Linked DNA regions of Rhinolophus ferrumequinum. The protein of the gene in region 1 interacts with the protein of each later gene in a biochemical or structural test. Links are inferred from orthologs where the notes say so. Each region holds a gene or a part of one and is shown on either strand. Other genes may lie near its edges.

Region 1 (9,927 bases):
CATCTCTGTGTCCCCAAAACCTGAATATGCTCCTCAGCCCACACCCCCACTCACCTCCAAACTCCCCCTCTCCAATCTGCGCTCCCAGAGTCAAATGCTGCAGGTTTAGTAACCAGCCGGCTGTGGGATGAAGACCTGGTCAGAAGGATAACAGGCTCCCCAAGTCCCTCCCCTCGGGGGAACCACCTGGTGAGACACACCCGGGCACATATTCAGGTGGCCGCTATTCCCAGCGATGGTCCAAGGGCATGGCTGATGTACCCAGTCCTGGTACCATTTTATCATGTGGTCGAAGGCAACAGAGCCTCCGATTCAGGGCTGCCTATCTCTCTTCTACCTGGAGACTGTGTCCCTCCAAATACCCCAAATGCTCTTCCCTTTATCGTCCTTTACCTCTGGCCACCCAGGAATATACACAAAGCAAAAAAACACAACAGACAGGGAGACCAGCAAAGCTTCTAGACCCTTCCAGGGCTGTACGTCGTGGTCTGTGCTCGCCTCCCTGACCCTTGTCACAGCAGGCCAGTGTCCTCCCCGCCTCCCCCCCAGCAGGTTCTATAGGCCTCCCCCACCCCCCACCCCCCCGCAAACCAGGAGCTCCTTAGGTACATCAGGAATGGAATGGTGACACCGCCTCCACCCCGTGCCATCCCCAAGACGGCCAGATCTCCCCAGGAGATACTCGTGCTTTCAAGGAGACAGCCACGGGTGTCAGGTTCCAAAGACCGTAGGGGTGGCTGTGGTTGGGGGCATTTGCTTTGGGCCTTGAATATTGATGATTTCACTACACAGAAGCTGAAAAAGCATTTCTGGTAAAGGTAACAGAAAGCACAACAGCAGGGAGGCATGAAAGGAAATGAGTCACGGGGGAGGGGGGTCTTGTGAATGGAAGAAGGGTCCTGTAGGTGAGGCAGGAAAGAAGGCTCAGTCACAAGAGAACGTTCTAGAAGGCGGAAAAGCTGCAGGGCCTCCCTCCTTTAAGCAGGGGAGCAATGTGGGTGGGCTATCATGGTAGAAAGCTGCCTCTGGGGGCACACACTTAAGGGTCTAAGGTCGGGAGGAAGGGGGACTGCCCCCCGGAAGAATGTGGTCTGATGGAAAGGTGTGAGGTCAGGTAGGGTGTTAAGTGATGTTAGAACCTGACCATGAAGGGGATGTGGGCGGGTGGGTGGGTTGAGGTTTTGGGCCAGGTTTCCAGCTCAGGTGACAGGGCGTGATAAGGACCCAGGTGTAGGAAGTAGCAGATGTGGGAACCTGCTCAATCTTGAGATGATCAGTGTCTGTGAGTGCCCTTTGCCCAACCCCGGGAGAGCCCAGGCCTTCCACCTGTAGTGCCAGGCACGGCGCCATACTCAAATGCTGTGGCATTAGCCCCATGCCGGGCCCCAGGGCCCTGACCTCCCAGGGGGGAGAATGTGGGTGGAGAGGGCGCAGACCCCTACCCTTGGCTAGCTCCTCCTCCGCAGATTTGGCCCCCGGCTTCCTCTTGGGTTTCACGAGTTTTGTGCAGATGGCCCCCTTGTCCTTGCTGTAATGCTGCAGGGCAGGACGGGGCAGAGGTGGTCGTGAGTCCAACCCTGGGGTGTGGGGAACCCCTGCATCCTGTCCCCTTCCTGGGGGGTGGTCTGGATGGGGTGGGCAGGAGCTGATGAGAAGGAGAGGGGTTTGGGTCTCACAGGATGTGTTGGGCTGGTTTGCATGGAAACAAGAAAGTATGGAGGCTAGGGGGGAAACAGGGAAGATGGGGAGGTCTCTGGATTGGTGTCAACTTGGAGGTTCCTGAAGGTCCCTGAAGGAGCCACCCCAGTCCTTGGAGGTGGGACCTAGAGGACTCAGACCCCCTAGAGAGTTGGTGGTCCATGGGGACCAGCTGCTTCTCTGCACTGGGGAGCATGCGTCTCTGGGTTCTGGGGCGCACCTCCACCATATCCATGAGGTTGCAGAAGCAGACGGCCTCGTCAATGGTCAGGTGGCCATCGCGGTGCAGCACGCGATAGTGGATGACATCTCGGCCGAAGCTCACGCACAGCACGTAGTCACCTGGATGTCGCACTGACTCGCGCACCAGAAACAGTCCATCCTCAGGCGGCTGCAGCAGCTGCACCGCCTCCTGGCCTGAGATCTTCCCATGGAACCACCTGTGGGGGCAGAAGGGCAGGCTGGACTGGGCTGGCCAGGCCCTCCTGGCCCCCCCATTCCAGGACGCCCCACAACTCACGGCATGAGGCTGAGCTTGGGGTCAGTGGAGAGGGCCTCACGCTCCCGGAGTGCGCCGGCTGCCAGCAGCCCCTCCTGCCCGCTGCTGTGGTGCTTGGCGCGGTACCAGCTCTTGCTCTGCCAGGGAGGGAGCCAGGGGTCCGTATGTGTGTGTTTGTGTGTGTGTGGGGGTCCTGTCCCCAAACACACCCAGGCCCTCTGGCTACTGCTCACCTCACAAGCCTCCAGGATGGTGACCACGTCACCCTTGCGAAAGGCCAGCTCTCCAGGCTTGGGGCGCATGTGCTCACACTTGGTGATGCATTGGGTACCTGGGGCCCAGCGCCTCTGGGTGAGGGGGTGAGGGAGAGGGGCAAAGGGGACATGAGGGAGATGCCCCGGAGAGAGAAAGATTGGACCGAGACAGAACAAAAAACAGAAAGAAAGAGCGAGAGGAGGAGAAAGGACAAGGGAGCTGCCAACAGAGATTTATTAGAGTCTCAAACACCAGGTGCTCAGTACAGGTCAGGAAGAAAAGGTGAAAGAAATGCAACACCAAATAACAGAAAGCCTGGGAGACAGCAGCTACAGGGACAAGGGTCAGAGTACAGTCCTCCTCCCTGTGGAGCTGAGGTCCTGTGGGCGTGGACTGAGCTGAGGAAGGGCCGAGGCCACAGGCACCCAGGTCGAGGTACTCACCGTGGGCATCCTGGCTAAGATGGGTGGAGGAGTGCCAGGCACAGAGGAAGCGAGGGCTCACCTGGGGAGGAGGCAGAGACCAGCTGGAGAGCCCAGATTCACCCCATCACTACCAATTCCAGCCCAAGCCGGGTCGGAGGGACAGCCAGGGGCAGAGGGGCTCAGGTATAGCTTCCCGAAGGCCATTTGGGAAGGTGGCCTTTACCCAGGGGAGTTCCTTAGCAGAGTCACAGCCATGAAACACCAGCAAGGAAACCGTGGAGCCTCGCCCCACCATGGTTCCCAAAGGGAAACTGAGGCATAAGGTGGGCACAGAGCTAGTGGCCACAGGCTGGGGAGGGGACAGGTACCTAGCTCAGGCCCCAGCAGCCCACACAGCACATGGGGAGCTTGGTGCCACCTAATCGACCCTGGTTCTTCCTCTTTTCTGGTGAGTGGGCAGGAACAGGGCAGACAAATACAGAATGATTCAAGGTCATTCCCAAGGAACTCTGACCCAGAGGTGGGGCGGAGGCTGTGGAGCCCTGCTGGGCTCCTCTGGCCACCAGCCAAACCTCTCTGACTCCCCCACCCCAACCCAGGACTGACACACACACTCCTTCATTGCTGCTTGGTTGGGGACTTTTCCACCCCTTGCCACCCCCATCTACCCTACCGCAAGTGGCTGGACAGTGGGGCAAGTTGCGGGGTGAATCTTGGTTCCTCCAATGTGCACCCCCATAAATCTTCAGCCCTACGTGTACTCACACCTATACTGATCCATGTACACACAAGCACATACAGAAACACACAGGGCTTGGACACAGGTGGACACAGGTACCCACAGGCACCCAGGTGTGTAAGCAAAGGCATGCCCCCCTAGAGACAGGTGTGCACACGCCTCTACATGTGTGTACACATGCGCAGGTGCTGGGACATCTGGAAACGTGTGCATCTGCCCACCCACTAACACACACAGACCCATACTTGAACACCTGGGCACCAAACGCTGGGCCACCCAGGCACGCAGAGCTACACACAGGGCCGCGCACACGCATCTCCGCCACACGCGCACATGCCTCCACGTGGACGCGCTGATACACACACCTGGGGGCTCGCAGACGCGCACACCCCCACCCAGACTACTCCCCACCCCGCGCTTGATTGCCTGTAACCACCCCCACCTCAGCAGCGTACCCGTCGCGCGCCCCGGACGTGCACACTCGAGCGCACACCGGCCCCTCCCGCGAACGCCCGGGTCCCCATGGAGCCCTCTGGTTCGCTTCCACTGCCCCTGCGGTCTCTACCCCCAATCCCGTCACCGCGCTCACCTGCTCAGGGGGCGTCCCCGGGCCGCGCCCCGCCCCCGCCCCCAGGAGGGCCCCCGCGTGCCAGCTGCGCACCCCCAAGGCGGGCCCCGCTGCACAACTTGGTGCAAGTTCCTCCGTTTCCTCATTTTGGGGGTGGAGGAGAGGTAGGGTGGCCGGGGAGCGGGAGGTGCCGCGGCCAGGGAGGATCCCGCGGGTCCTAGCGCCGGCCGCACTGCGGTCTGCTCTGCGCGCCGCCGCGGGCCCCTCCCCGCCCTGCCTCCGCGGTCCCCGGCACCTCCCGCGCGGCGCGGGGGGCGCTGGAGACTCTCACCGGCTCCACGCCTCTCCCTGGCCTGGTGCTGAGGGGCGCGCACCCCAGCTCATCCGGACAAGCGGAGGCCTTGGAGTGTGGAGCAGGTGGCACACCGCGCGCGCGCGCGGAGTGGAGTGAATGAGCTGCCGGTCGGGGAGATAAGCAGGCGGCAGAGCCCAGACGACAAAATGGGCCCTTCGGACTCTGCCTTTCCAACGCCCTGTCACCTCCTCTGCCAACGGGACCTCATTTAATTACCTGTTGCTGTAGAGAGCTGTTGATGCCTGGCACAAAGAAAACTCCCCCAAAATGTCAACCGCTGCCAGTATCGTCATCATTATCGTTAAAGGAAAATTGGGGCCACAAGGGAAAAAATCGTGTGGAACTGGAAGCCTCCTGGCGGAGCAACCCTCCTTTGGAGAATAATGGTGGGTCCTGAGGCGGGAGCCAACCCAGCTGTGCCAGAGGCAGTACTGCCCCACTCTTGACCTCCCTTTCCTCCTCTGAAGGGCTGGGCAACACGGGCGTCCCCTCAGAGGACAGCTGGATGAGCACTGAATGGCCACGCACTGGGCCTGGCCTCCAGCCATGACTCCATTGCTTCTAACGGCAGAGTCTGCTCGGACAAGGGTGGAGCTGACCTTGGAGGGCTCTGAGTCAAGATGCCCAGAGAGCCCTGCTTCCCAGCCACTGGGCACTGCTCTGGTCCTAGGGTTGGGACCCTGCAGCCAGCATTCAGTCAGGGTGATGGGGGCCTACCATATATAGCAAGCCATCATCACTTTCCAGAAATAGAAACCCAGAGTGAAAATAGCCACAGAGGAAACCCACAGACAGCACCATTAAATGCTCAGCAGGGACTGCTATGGCCCCAGGCCCCACAGTGGAGACCTGCCTTCTTTGTTCAGCAAGGACAGGAGCCCATGTCTAAGAGGTTGAGATGCCCTAGCACCCCGTGGAGATGTTCTCCTTGACGTAGTCAGAGAGAAGGGAAGAGGGTCAGAAGGGGCTGGCTTTCTCCCTCTGCGAATAGGTACTTAGGGTCTGAGTAACACCTACATCCTCCCCAGGATGCCCAGGGGTCCATGTCCCACATTCTGGAAGGCCCTACCTCTGAGTGATCAGAGGAAGCAAAGGTGTTGAGACTGAGGACTGACAGATTTAAGGAGAAGGTGTTAGGTGCCCGAATCTCCAAGGGTTGGCCTGGGGAACAGGGAGCCCGCCCCCCATGGGTGTGGGCATGGGGCATTGAGCTGTGCATGACTTTAGGGGGATAGATTTGAGTCCATGGTTAATTTGGGTCAGAGCTACAGAAGGGGTGAGCTCCCCAATCCTAGAGGCATCCAATAATTGGCACTTTGAATCACAAAGACTCAATGGGTCTTCCAGTCCCCAGTGATGCAACACCCGTTTTCCTGCCTCCTGCTAGGAGCTGAAGGACGTGCCTCTCCCTTCTACCTGCCTGAAGCCAGTTGGTAGCCACACCATCGGGTCGGATACCAGAATTCCCCAGTCCTGGGCTCTTCACCCTCCACATTTCAGTCCTGTCAACTTGAGTCTGGAAATTCTTTGACCCACCCACCCCCAACCCCTGGACACCCATCTGGTGCAGGCTGGTGATAGAGCAGCCCCCTTTCTGGTCTCCCAACTGCCTCCAGTTTTTCTCCTTGTTACCATTCATCTTCCACTGCATCATCAAGGGATGAAAATGTGACTGTGGCCCTCTCCTGCTCTAAATCCTGCTATAGCTCCCACTGCCTGCAGGACAGAGCCTAAAACACTCAGTCTGGCATTCAGGGCTCTTCATATCTGGCCCCTCCCTGGCCTCCCTGGCCTCAGTTGCTTCTGCTCCCACCAAGCACCCAATAGTTTGGCAACTCTGAACTGCAGGAGTTAGCATGGTTTCGCATGGGCTGTCCCCTCTGCCGGAATGTGCTTCTCCCATCCAGATGGCATCTCCAGCTCATCCTTCACGCCCAGCTGAACCGACATCATTTTTATGAAGCCTTCTTCAGACACCTTTACCCTTCTCAGAGCAAGTCTAACTTCTATGTCCTGAAAGGACCCCTAGCTAGAGACACTAGCCATCTCATTTCACCGATGGGCACGGATCTGGCCTTGGGAACTGAGACCATTAGCCTGCCTGAGAAAAAGCCAGCCCAGAGGAAGCAGAGCCAGGAAACAGACTGAATACCACAGGAAGAATTCAAATCGTTGGATTCAGCCATGTCTGGAGGTCACGCTATGCCTAGCATTGGAAGCAGTTCTTTGCTTTTTGGTTGCTTTCAGGAGGTTACTGCCACTTGTAACCAAAAGAATTCCTAATACTGAAAATGGGACCAGAGTGGGGTGCTGAAATTAAATCTCTATGATGTGGAATTGGTGAGTCAGATTAGGTTGCCCTAAACCCAGCTAAGAAGAGGAATCTCTTCCCTTTCATGCCCTGGATCAGGTGGTGCTGTCTTCTGTCACTTGCAACAGAGAAACCCTGATGAACCCACCTTGTCCCCTGCCTGAATGCCTTTCTTTTGTTCATCCGAATCTCACTGTTCTTCGCATCTCACTGTTCTATTTTGACTGTTGTGATTTGCATAACCCTCTGTTCTTCAAACTCCTGGAGATTTTGGGGACCCATCCTCTCATTTTAGAATTGGAGCAGCTGAGACCCAGAGAGGCAAGGCTACTTGCCCATGGTAACACTGGGGCTAGAAGTCAGGCCTGCAGACACACCCAATGGAGTTGTAGACTTTTCAAAGGCAGGATATATTTCTTATTCTTTACAAATATGGACGAAAATCATTATAGGCAATAAACAAAAGAAGTCATGTGACAGGCACTTTACATAATGCATCAGTTAAAATTAGGATTGGCTGTGGGGGATGGAAGACCCCAAGTGTTAGAGGCTTGAATTACTAGGTAGAAATTAATGCTCTTTGAGGGAGGAAATCCTGTGTATGTCAGGGGCCCAGGCTCCTGCTATCTTGTTGCTCTGCCTTTGTCCACACTCAAACTTCATTCTCTTGATCTAAGATGGCTGCTTGAGCTCCAGCCCTCTCACCTATTGCATTCCAGTCAATAGGAAGCAGGAAGTTGGCAGAAAAGGGTACATTTCTTCATTTAAGGACTCTTCCAGTGAAACCCCAGGAGCAGAGGAATCTGGGAAATGTAGTCTTTACCCCAGCTCATCCTCCATGTCCATGAAAACTGGCACCATTTTTATGAAACCTTCTCAGACATCCATACCCTCCTCAGAGCAAGACCTCACTCCTATGCCCTGAAAGGACCCAAAAGGGCCAAGAGGGGGAGGCAGGAGCACTGGCATCCTCTTTCTCAAAGCTTCCAGGTTTGCTCCCACCTCATGGCCTTTGCGTTAGCTGTGCCTTCTGCCTGGGACACTTCCCCAGACATAACCAACATTATAGCAACCCTACAGAATATTTCAACCTTCTGACATGTTACATTCTCTTTCCTGTAGCTCTGTGGAGCTACCATGGTCTGACTGACCATATGTTTTACTTGTTTATCTTGTTTACTGGCTGTGTCCTTTCTAGAACATCAACTCCCCAGGGCAGGGATTTTGGACAGTGTCGTTCACAGCTGTGGTCAGTTCCTGGCACACAGTAGTATTCAGAAAGTATTTTTTTAAGCCAGTGAATATTGGGGAGGGGAGAGGGAATGAGCAGTGCCTGTCACCTGTGAGGCAAGCACTCTCATTGTACCCATTTCACAGATGGCAAAGCTGAGGCTCAGAGAGTGCTGAGGCTCACCCTATGACACAGGAAGTGGTGGGCTGGGCTTTGAACCCAGGCCCATCCAGCTCCAGGGCCCACATGCTGGTGCACGGCATAGTGGTGGGCACATGACAGACCACCAGAGAATGTGCCCATAATTGAAATTTCTGGATCTGGAGGGCAGGCAAGACAGGGCAGCTGCAGCCAGATGTGGGGATGGCTGCGCTGGCACCATGGCCCCAGAGGAGCCAGTGGCCAGATCAGACTGCCCCAATTAGCACACCTTTAAATTTAGCTTTCTCTTCCCTGCCAGGGGACTCAGGGATTCAGCGGAGGAACACTCTGCTCTTTCGAGGAAAAATGCTGCATCGCTCATCTTGCAACCAGAGCTGTGGTCGGCTGCATCATTCTTGACTTGGGGAACAAGGGCTCCTCCAAGCGACCTGCTTTGGGGTGCCAGGGGTGATCTGCCGTTAATGGGGGAGGCTGTCTGCTCTCCCCCCACATCCCTCGCCTGTTCTTCCTTGTACTGCAGGTGGAGCCAGGCATATCATTTCCCTGCCACGCTTGCAGGTTCACTGTGCGTAAACTGGGCCTGTGTCACTTCCTAGTTTACAACCTTCCCATGGCGCTGGCTGTGCTGGGGATGCAAGCCAAGCTCCTCACTGTGGCCCACCACTGGCTTGTCCACCATGGCTGCTGTCACCTCTCTGCTCTCAGCTCCCTCCACTTCCCCGGGCGTGGCTCTCTCGTGTTCCTCAAATGCTCCAGGCATGATCCAGCCTCAGGGCCTTTGCATGTGCTGTTTTCTCCTCTTATGACGTCCTTCCCTCAGCTCCTCTCAAAGATGGCTCCTTCTCATCATTTCTGGCTCCTTCAAGAGACCCTTCCTGACCACCCATAGTGACCACCCACCATCCAAGCCCAAAACACTGCCTGTCACCCTGTCTTACTTGTCCTCATCCATAGCCCTCCTGCCTCGCCTCGCTTGACAGAACGGATGCTCGTTAGAGAGGGCAGGGACTGCTCTGGCTTGGGCAATCACTTGTCTCTGGAGCCTAGTGCACAGCAGGCCCTCACAGAACAAATGAATAGAATCATATAAAGAGTGAAGACAGAGGAAGGAGAGCGGGATCCACAAGATACCACAAGGCAAAGCGTGTCTGTCAGAAGACTTGTCCCCAAGCCTCTGCTCCAGGGGTCCTCCCCAGCCCGTCCCCAGACCCTCATCCTCTAACTCAAGAGTTGGTCAACTTCCTCCGAAAAGGGCCAGATGATCTCTGTCTGGACTACTCAGCTCTGCTTTTGTAGCGCGAAAGCCACCATAGATGACATGGACGTCATCGGACATGGCTGCGTTCCAATAAAACTTTATTTATGGACACTGAAATCTGGACTTCGTATACTTTTCACATGTCATGCCACATTAAGACTTTTGATTTTTTCAGCCACTTAAAAATGTGAAGAGACATTTTTAGCTTGTGGGATGCATAAAAACAGACGGTGGGTAAGTGGGCTGTAGATTTCTGACCTCTGGTCTCTTTCAGCTTTTAATTTCTTAAAATAGGCACATTTTAAAATCTATTTGACCTGTAGGTGCACTTTTCAATCTAAATGGGTCGATATTCATGATATGTAGCAAGCTGTCAAGTGCTCTCCCAACTATAAAAAGCTCCCCGACTCAGCAATGAGCCCCTCA
Region 2 (10,201 bases), on another chromosome or scaffold:
CTTAACCTCTCTGTGCTTCAGTTTTCTCATCTGAGAAATAGGAATAAGAATTATGTCCGCATAAAAGAGGGACTATTGTCACCCCAATAAATAAAAAAAAAAAAAAAGAGGGACTAAGAAGCATGAGCGCATCTGCTGAAATCCTTCTGGCTTGGGCTTAATAAGCGCTCCTACATTTTTGCTATTATTAGCATTAGTATCAGGCAGAGACAGCACTTGAACTCAGGTCTCTCAGTGTACGCTGAGGCAGTCAGCCGTCTGTCCTGACGACAGCAGTACCCTGCAGGGACCCCACACCCAGGGCTGTGTGGGGAGCAGCAGCTCTGCACAGCTGGGCTCAGTTTCTGGCAGAGCCAGATCCCCAGAGCCTGAGAACAGTGTTTAGGGCCTGACAGCGCAGTCCCACCCCTGACAGGCTCGAAGAGATGCTTGTTTGCCTGCTGAGTCACTGAGTCGCTAACTTCCCCAGGAAAGCACTAATTACAGCATGGCTCCCCCCCAGCCCTGGCTCTGTGATCTGTCACTGCCTCTCAGCTTCGGGGCACTGGCTGCTGTTTCTGAGCCAGTGCTGTCACCCACTTTGCTTCCCCTGGTGAGGTGAGGACAGAAAACAGAGGGATCCACAGATCAACCAATGATCTGGGGCTGGGCTCATGAACCACAGTCTGTTCAGCGGTTCTCAAAGTGTGGTCTCCGGACCAGCAACATCGGCAGCACCTGGGAGCCTGTTAGAAGCACTGATTTTCAGACCTTGCCGGAGACCTGCTGAATCAGCAATTCTGGGGGCGGGGGCCCGGAAATCCCTGTTTAACAATCCCTCCAAGTGACGCTCATGCCTGCTCAATTGGGGAACCACAGCTTCGAGTCCTGTGCGGCTATGGTGGAAGGGGTCGTGCTGTGAAGAGGTGATTATAACATGGGGTGCATCGAAGCCCAGGCTCAGAGAGATGTGTCTTCAAATCCAGGCTCTGCCAGTGTCTTGTGTGATTTTGGGCAGGTCATTTTTTACATTGAATACCTATTTATTGACAACCTTCTGTTTACTGCTGAAAGCCCTAGGCTTCAGTGGTGGAAGAAAACAGTGGTGATACCCAACATCTTTACTTATATTCACTCATTTAACCCCTACAAGAAACCTTTAGGTACCGTTCTATCATTACCTGAATCGGGTGGGTGATGCACAGATGGTCAAAGTAACGTGCTTTAGGGCTAGTCCGAGGCAGTGCTGGGGTTTGAGCCATAGGTGCGCTTCCAGAGTTAGGCACTGAGCCATTGGGCTGGCCTGATTTGTGGCTAGTTAAGGAAAACAGACAAAATGCAATAAAGACACATAACACTGGCAGGTGGTGATGCGTGCTTTGAAGTAAAATAATGTAGGCAAAGGGATGGAGTCCATTGGGGTGGGTTGGAGTGGGGGTGACTATTTTAACAAGGAGGTCTGGCAAGGCCTCTCTGAGGAGGTGACCTGTGAGCAGAGACTTCTCTAAGGCAGCGTTCTTGTCTGTAAAGCGAATTAATGGCACCCCCTCCCAGGTACGGTGTGAACATGTCACGAGAACATGCCTGTGAAAGTATAGTAGATGTTCAACAAATAGGAACTGTTGTTATTTGAAGAACAAAGTTCAAATCCTAATTGGCTCGGCCCCTCACTAGCTGAGTGTCCACGGCAAGTGACTCCATCCTTCTGAACTTCGGTTTCTGCAGCTATAAAATGGCTGCCAGGAGCCTTGGCGATAACCCACATACAGATCAGAGAACAGCGCCGGGGTGCGGTAAGGGCACTCCCTCCTCCTGTCCCCACCCCACTTTCTCTCTAGCCTGTCAGCAGCTCCTCTCTGGGGCTGTTGGTTCCCTGGTCCAGGCCGCCCAGGAGACCTTGCTGTTTTTATTTTTATTGTTCTGGCTCCAAAGCTGAGGCCTCTCACTCCAAATGGTTCCTCTTGCCCAGAAAAATAGGTCGTTGGCAGCTCCAGCCTCCTGACAGGCCCTACACAAAGGCGGCCTGGCGGGCCTGCCTGCTGACGCCAGTCCAGGGTTACGGGAAGTGAGGAGCTGAGCCCAGGCAGGGCTGGTGCCAGGCAGAGCTGGGTCCCTGCAGGTTCCAGCATGCCCTGGCAAAGTGACCCTGGTCGAGTTGCATTCTGCCTCTGGTCTTGTTTCCCCACCTTTGACAACACAGTGAAGTTGCTGAGGCTTCAGTGAGACAATGCATATGGAGGGGCCTGGCACACACAGAGGAACCATCACCCCACCTGCAGAGGCAAACTCCAGATATGCTCCCGCCATGGTTGCTTTCACACCTGTGCCACTACTATCTCTGGGATCAGGGTAGACCTGGTTATTCCCATTTCACAGATGAAGAGACTGAGGCTCATTAAAAAAAAAATTTTCCCTAGTCACAGAAGTTAAATTGGCAGCATCTTGGCTTCGAAACCCCTGACCCTCCCCTCCTTGAGCTCATTCTAGTCTTCTTCCCAGCAGGTCTTGGGCAACAGGAAGGGATATGATCTGACTTCTATCAAAGGATCCCTTCTGGTTGCTGAGTGGAGAATAGATGGAGGAAGAGGGGGGAAACGTAGAAAGAAGGTGCCCAGGTGGGAGATGGTGGAGGCTTAGACTAGGGCGGTAGCGGCAGCAGAGACGCTGATAAGTGATTTGGTTCTAGACGTGAAGACAAGGTCCAGCCAGTGGGATGTGCAGCTGACAGATTGCACACGGGGAGTGACAGAAGAGTTGGGAGCCACGCAGGATGGAGCCGCCTCTGGCTTTCCATCTCAAATCTTTCAGGTCTTCACTCAAACATCACCTCCTCTGAGGCCTTCCCTGACCCTCTCCCCTCTCATAGGCCCTCCTGGTCCCCTTGCCTGCTTTATTTCCTCATATAGCTTTATCCATGTCTGACAGACTAAATATTTTATGTACTGGTTTGTTTATTCGCTCCCACTAGAATGTCAGCTCCTTGGGGCAGGGGGTTTTGTCTGTTTTCTCTCACCTGCTTCATCCTCAGTGCTTAGCTCAATGCCGGGAACATAGTAGGAGTGTAATAAATACTGTTAAGTGCATGAATGAATGGTATATGTATGAAGGCAATTCAGTTTTAATCCAGGGCAGCCCAGGATGCCTCCTATGGAGGTGGCTGATTCTCTTCAATTATCTGCCATAATCTCGCTGTGTGACCTCAGACAAATTGTCCTCCAACCTCAGTATACCCAGCTGCCGAATGGTCTCGGTGACCTCCCAGGCATGATGGTCAGCCAAGGGTGATTTTTCTGTGGACTGAATCAGGAGAACAAGGCCCAGGCCTCCTTCTGGGGTGGAGGTGAGGATGAAAGGGCCCTGGTGTTAAGAAGCCCTGCTGGGTGCCTGTGCCCAAGTGCTACATATAAACAGCAGGTGGTTCAATAATAATCCTTCCCTAATCCTCAGTTTCCTAATCCCAGGCAGGTCTCCGTGTGTGTGTGTGTGTGTGTGTGTGTGTGTGTGTGTGTGTGTATCCTGGGAAATAGTGAATGGATGGCAGAAACTTCTGGAAGCCCAGGCCAGGTGCCTGCCTCATCGCTGACCTTCACCAGCTGCCCTTGCTCCCACTCCCACCCCAGGTGGATTCCAATGATGGATTTTCTCAGGACTCTCAGCTGGTCACCTTCATGGTCTTGGCCAGACGTGGCCTAAAGAGTTAGAGGTTCCCTACATCCCACTTCAAATACTAGGAGGACCCCAGAACAACCTCCTCACTGTGCTGATTTTACGCTCCCCTTCCTGCAGCCCACTCTCCACTAGCAGTCAGAGTGGCCTTTTAAACGCATGAATCAGACCATGGGGCTCCCCTGCTTAAACCCTTCAATGATTTCCTCCCTGCAGAATAAATGCAGGCACTTTACCAAGGCCTGCAAGGCCACCCAGCTGAATCCCTCTCCCCCATCCATCGCACATTCCCTCCAGCCACACTTGCCCCAGGGCCTTTATATGTGCTGTTCCCTCTTCCCCAAATCCTCACCTTGCTGCCCCTTCTTACGATTCAGCTCCCAGCTTCTCAGGGAAGACTTACCCTTATCTAAATGAGGGTGCCCTTCTCACTCTCTGAGCTCAATCTTCTGTTGTTCATTAATTATTTCTACTTGTCGACTTATCTGTCTTCCCACTAGAATGTAAATGTCTCATGGACAGGGACCTTGTATGATTCCCTGCTGTATCTCCCACACCTAAAGAAAAAAAATTTTCCCTTGTACTTCAAATACTGTCCAGAATCCTGTGGGCTCCCTAAGGACTGTTGTCAAACACTATACTTATTTATCAAATATTATGTAGCACTTAGGACATGCTAGGCACTCTTTAAAGTGTACAAATATTAATTCATCCAATCCTCACAGCAACTTTTTCAGGTTGATACTCATGTTAGCCTAAGTTCAGATGAGGAAACTGAGGCACAGACAGGATAAGCCATTTTCCCAAGTCTACACAGCTCATAAGAGGTAGCTGGCCGGATTTGAATCCAAGGAGTCTGGCCCATGCGCTCAGCAGTTGCGCCCTTCCTACCTCCCTGTCTTAATACACCAGGACTAGGCATCTGACAGGCAGGCTGGGGTGGGAGTGGGGGTGTCACTTTGCAAAAGTCTTCATTTTATTTAGCCTGGGAATCAGAAATTCAAACCTCGTTTCTACCCCAGGCCTTGCTCTGTGTCCTTAGACAAGTCCACTTCCTCTCTGGGCCTCAACTCCCTTTTGTTGCTTCATTCCTATGCTCTTAACAGACTCGCGAAGCAAAATTGGTTGTTGTGTATTTCCAAGTCCCAAACCCTCCAATTAGCAGAGGGTCTTGGACTCCTTTCCCTCCCACAGTCTGGAGTTACCTTTGGCCGGGTAACCAGCACTCCCACTGCCTATCACTGACTTGGGATGGTAGGTAGGTAGGTAGGTAGGTAGAATGTTGGATGGATGGATGGATAGATAGATGATAGATAGATAGATAGATAGATAGATAGATATAGATAGAGGCTCTGTCCTCTCCGAATACTCCAGGCCTCTTGCCTCTGTTCCCCTCCTTTCCTCTCACCTTCTTCATTATCTGTCATTTTCCCAGAACCCAGGCCTTCAAATCCTCTCTCTCCTCCACCCCCCAAATCTGCCACCCCTGAAAGAGGCACCTGACAGAGAGAGCCCACCTCCCTAGGGAGGCCCGACCCTTCCCCTGTAGTTTCCCGGGCCACAGCCCCTCTTCTTTCTCATTCTCCTCGCTGCGCCTCTTTTCCAGGCGGCACCGAAGTCCTTCCTACACACACGCTATTTTTGTATGATCACTCTCTCCTTCCTCTCCCCCTTCCCCCTACATTCACTTACTTCCTGCTTTTCCGTCACCTCGGCCCAGCTCTGAAAGAATCGGGGCCTCTTTGGCCCAAGCCCACCTCCAAGAGCGGCCTTCAGCTTTGGGGCACAGGGTCAGGGCCACTTGGGGAGGGGAAAAGGCAGACACCCCCATCCCCCCTCTACTCCCCCACTCCTTCGCGGCTTCCAGCCTCTCGCTAAAGGGAAGCAGGGACTGACCGCGACGGAGTCCGGAGGCAGGGGAGGCCGGGCGCAACTTCCCCAGTCCACCTTAAGAGGACGATGTAGCCAGCTCGCGGCGCTGACCTTAGACAAACAAGTTTGCGCAAAGTGGAGCGGGGGGCCCGGCCCTGGGCAGCCCCAGCGGCGCTTCCACAGCCTTCCAGCCCTCGCTGGCGGCGCAGGTCCGAGCCGGGCAGGCAGTGGGAGGGGGACGGGGAAGGGAGCGGCTGGGGACTGGTGACAGCCGCTCGGGCTTCTGAACTGGCACATTGTTGGAGGCGGAGGCTGGTCCAGTCCCCAGCCCGAGCGCGGTGGGCCGGCGGCGGGGGCGGGCGGGCCGCCTCCCGGGGCTGCAGCCGTGGGCCCGGGAGGGGGTTGGGTGCCCGGGCGGCGGCACGGGCGAGGGGCAACGCTGGCCTCCTGACCCGGCGCTCGACACCAGCCCTCGCTCCCTCCCTCCCCGGGGCGCGCTGCTGTAGGGCGCTCTCCAAGAGGGTGCCGGCGCAGCCAGAGACCTGCAGCCCCCCCGTGAGAGCAGGAGCGAGGAGAGGAACCGGGAGGCGGGAGGGGGCCGCGGCCGGGCGGGTGGGGGCCGCGGCTCGGACTGTGGCCAGGAGAGAGGCGAGTCGCCGACGCCGCTAGGAGCCCGGGCAGGGCAGGTGGGCAGCGGTGGGGGCGGCTAGCGGGGCTGCCGTCCGCCCTGGCTCGGGGTCCTCCTCTCTCCCGCGCTGTCTGTCTCGATCTGCGCGCCGCCTCTCTCTCTCTCTCTCTCTCTCTCTCTCTCTCTCTCTCTCTCTCTCTCTCTCTCTCTCTCTCTCTCTCTCTCTCTCTCCCCCCCCCTTTCTCCCCCTCTCTCGCCTTTCTGTGCCTCTGGCTCTCTCCCTGGCTCCCCTGGCTCTATTTCCCTCTCCTGCCGCCCCTCTCCGGCCGCCCGGGCTTTCTTTCTGGCGCGCTTGGGGTCTGTCCCCTTCTCTCTCTCTCGATCTTTTCGGGGGGTGGGGGGACGTTCTCCGAAAATCGCCGCCGTGACGGCAGCTCCTAAGCCGCTCCGGGCGCTCATTCCGGTGAGGGGGGGAAGCCCGGCCAGTAGGAGAGAGAGGGGAGGAGGAAGGGGGGGAGCCTTAGTCATTTCCCCGCTCCAGCCCGCGCCCGCCCGAGCGCGCACTCACGGCCGCTCTCCCTCCTCGCTCCTCAGCCGCGGCCCATGGAGCCCGCCGGCCTGGCCCCCGGCCGCCTCAGGCCGCTGTTCTGCCTGCTGATCGCCGTGTCCTGCTTCAGTACAGGTAAGCGCCCTCCCACCCTGCTGCTGTCCCCTAAACTGCGGAATCAGGCCCCTCAGCCTGCCACCGGGAGCCACTCGGCAATGTTAGCAGTAATAGGGGTAGAGATGCCTGCAACCAGGGTTACAGGAGCGGAAACCGAGGCCCAGAGAGGGCCAGCGACTTGTCCAAGGTCACACAGCCAAGGGTAGAACCCAGTCTCTCCCGACTCTGACTGTGTGGCACTGAGCTGGGCACTGGGACAGACATACCCAGATGAGTTGCTTCACCCAGCCCCTGCCCAATCTGGAGGGGGAGGCAGGCTGTCAGCATCTTTCAGAGCAAGGCACCCCTGGCTTCCCTAGAAGCTCTCTCCCTGGACTGATGCTTTCCACTTGTTTGACTTCAGGGTCTGAAAGAAGGGGGTGGGGGCAGAGGTCTTCCAGGTACTGCCTGGGATGGAACAGAAGCAGACTTGCAATAAGGGAAGCAGGAGCATTCCCTCTGGTACGCAGAGTAAAACAGTGTGAGTGTGTGTATCGGGAGAGAGAAGGGAGGCCACAGGTAACCCTGGGGTAAGCTGCTGTGGTCAACAGATCCTGATATGAAAACACTGAATTTTCCCCGGAGTTGCCAGAGCCTCTCACTGGATGGCCGTGCTCCTTGCTCCTCTCCTGCCCCACCACACCACTTCCTCCTGCCTTCCCCAGGCTGCCAGGCAGCTCCCTGCTGTTCAGGGGCTCTGTGGGGCTATTACCTGTGGCTCTGAGCATGTCTTTTTGTTGGCCTACATCAAACACCTGTCTCTCTCCAGCAGGCAGGCACTGAAAGCTAGCATGTGTTCACCAAGGGGTGAGGTCATCATTCAGGAGTCCTGCTTCTTAAAGGGGTTTTGCAAAACCATGGGTCTCCTGGGAGGGCACGGAGGAGGCTGAGAACTGGCGTTGAAGGAGTGGGGGGGGGGGGCGGTGGGAGAGAGAAATGGGGATCTTGTTTTTTGGTTTATTGAAGCTGTGTTGTCGTTGGCAGAGGGGTCTCTGCGCCTGCCTCTCTTGAGGAAGGAGGCAAAAATAAGCTCAGTGTCTCTCCCCCCACCCTTCCATTTGCCTAGAGACTGGTAACCATCTGAAAGCAGTGAGAAAGGGAGAACTAGCAGAGTGGGTGGAGGGAGAAGTAGGGCTAAACAGCTGCTTTTCTCTGCTCTACAGTTTCCCCTGAACCCGGGGATGCACGTAGGCATCCCCCCACTCCATCCCCGGGTCCTTCAGTTATAGTCAGGTCCTTGCTGGGCAGAAGGAAGCACGGTTATATTTCATATCTCTCTGGTGAGTGGCATCTCCTATCTGCTCCTTCCTGTCTGAGCTGGCCATGTACACCGTGCACAGTCCCAATTCCTGCCTTAGCATTCATTCTTCCAGGCCTGGAAATTCGTGAGTGTCTCTCACAGGTGCTTACTTTTCCTAAAGCAGGGAACTGGGCCCAAGCTAATTTCTAAATATCTGTTCCAGACCCTTCTCCAACCAGGACCCTGTGGTTCAGTTTCTGGCAAATGAGCGGTGACACTGGTTAACAAGTGTTCAGATGGACAGCCTGCCTTTCCCGGGGCGCTGGCTGGGAATACCACCACCCTTCTTGTGAGCAAATCTCCCCCTTTTGTCTATAAAAACAATCTATAAAATGGTAAAGATTAGGCCATAAAACTTCCGTTCCAATCCATTCAGCATCAATAGCCTGAAAAAGTGGGAGCAGCAGAGGGGCCAAGATTAACTTTGAAATAAATAAATCTTAGGAGGTGAGAACAAATTTCTTGGCTGAGTGTGGTGGGGAAGGGATAGGGTGTCGCCACATAGCTGAAGCCTCCCAGCATCCTTCACTTCTACGGGGTCCTGGTCATGCTCTGGGCTCTGGCCTGGAATTCACCAGGTTTGGCTAACGGATGGGGCTTCAGGCCCCTTCCTCAGTTGCTCTAAGTGTGGAAATTATGACAAAGCAGAACAGGCAGGACAGAGGGTAGGAAGGTAGAAGGAGGCAGTTGTCCAATTTTCTAAGAAAATGGATTTGTTTGAGTGAGAAACTCAAATGTCAGGCTTAGGAAGGCGGCTCTGGATTGAATGACTAGTACTGTCTCAGCCAGAACTGTCAGCTTGGGAGGTGTCACATGACTGCTGTGGCTTCACATGGTCACTCTTTAGAGGGGGCTGGTCATGGGAATTATCTTGGTTGGGGGAGGCAGGGGGAAAAGTTTCTAAAGATTGCTTTTAGTACAAATGCCGCCAAAGGGAAATTCTAAAACGATGCCAGTGAAGTCACCAACCTGTGTCTTGGAGTCAATGTGAGGTCTGTTTCTTAAAACAGCTTCACTGAGGGAGATTCTGAGACTGGGAGAAGGGAGGGGACCAGGGCTTGGGGACACCTGGGCAGCCTGATTCTGCACGAGCAGTAGCACCTGACGTTGAACCTGCTGGCTCCTGGCTTAGCCCCACCTACGTCTTGGGATGTAGGAGTCATCGAATGGGCCGAACCTAGATGAGCTCCCGTTCACTCCTTGCCCTAGCTTGGAGAAGGCCAGGCCAAGCTGGAGTTCAGGCTTTGGGGGACAGCTGGGCCCTCTGATGAACCTTCTGACTCTTTGGTAGAGGGTAGCAAGCTGGTGGCTCCCCTGTACTTTCCTAAGTGGTAAAGTTAATCTCACTTCCTCTTTCACAAAAAGAGAAGGGCGTGGGGGGGCTTTGGCTGTGATAAACTCAGGCTATTGGACGGTCCTTCAAGCCATGTGTTCTCTGGGTACTTTCTGGCCATTAATGATTCCTTTACCAGCCCCGTGGAGACTCAGGGTGTGATTCACTCCTCAACTTGCAGTCACTTGGCACGTATGAAGTCCTGATGTGAACCATGTGTTAAGAGAAGCGAGGAGCCCCAGTGTTCTTTGACTGTTAACTGTATTCCTGGCTGTGTGCTGACTGCCTAGCTGTGGAATCTTACCCATCAGCAAAGCACATCTTGAGTTGGCTATTATCCTCATTTTGCAGATGAGGAAAATAGAGTCCAAAACTGGAGAAGTAACTTGTCCAAGGAGTAAGTGGTCGGGAGCCTGGATTTTGAATCCCAGCCTCCTAGCTGGGTAGCCTCTGAGAGAAGACGTTCACTAACTTAATCAGGATTACTTAGTCCAAGCTGGAGGGAGTGAGAGGAGGGAGTCCAGGCTTAGATGGAGGTTTGTAGCAAGGTTCCTTCTGGAACAGAAGTTTTCAACTGAGTCACAGTCGTTTCTCTGAAAATACACTGAGGATGGAAACACTGACCGCCCCTTGGCCCTCACCAATGACAACTCATGGGAATGATGTGGCTCCCGTCAGAGCCCCCGATCTGGGCTGCTGAGCTCTGGGGCCCCCAGAGCT

Evidence for each region.
Region 2: the proteins of MATK (region 1) and tyrosine-protein phosphatase non-receptor type substrate 1 form a complex in vitro, tested with the Homo sapiens proteins (3 studies listed by BioGRID, with this or other methods). The link is inferred for Rhinolophus ferrumequinum from reciprocal best matches to the Homo sapiens genes MATK and SIRPA.

What each region holds. Positions count from the first base shown.
Region 1 is NC_046301.1:59,687,664-59,697,590, reverse strand, and holds the start of MATK (megakaryocyte-associated tyrosine-protein kinase), read right to left. Parts: upstream 4,657-9,927; 5' UTR 4,516-4,656; intron 4,414-4,515; exon of another isoform or gene 4,206-4,413; intron 4,155-4,205; exon of another isoform or gene 4,072-4,154; intron 2,957-4,071; 5' UTR 2,905-2,956; coding exon 2,896-2,904; intron 2,545-2,895; coding exon 2,431-2,544; intron 2,335-2,430; coding exon 2,219-2,334; intron 2,139-2,218; coding exon 1,919-2,138; intron 1,537-1,918; coding exon 1,443-1,536; intron 121-1,442; coding exon 55-120; intron 1-54.
Region 2 is NC_046306.1:24,327,820-24,338,020, forward strand, and holds the start of tyrosine-protein phosphatase non-receptor type substrate 1, read left to right. Parts: upstream 1-5,416; 5' UTR 5,417-5,435; intron 5,436-5,457; exon of another isoform or gene 5,458-5,726; intron 5,727-5,836; exon of another isoform or gene 5,837-5,855; intron 5,856-5,866; exon of another isoform or gene 5,867-6,072; intron 6,073-6,076; exon of another isoform or gene 6,077-6,203; intron 6,204-6,436; exon of another isoform or gene 6,437-6,608; intron 6,609-6,649; exon of another isoform or gene 6,650-6,739; 5' UTR 6,740-6,748; coding exon 6,749-6,827; intron 6,828-10,201. UniProt on the Homo sapiens protein: Immunoglobulin-like cell surface receptor for CD47. Acts as docking protein and induces translocation of PTPN6, PTPN11 and other binding partners from the cytosol to the plasma membrane.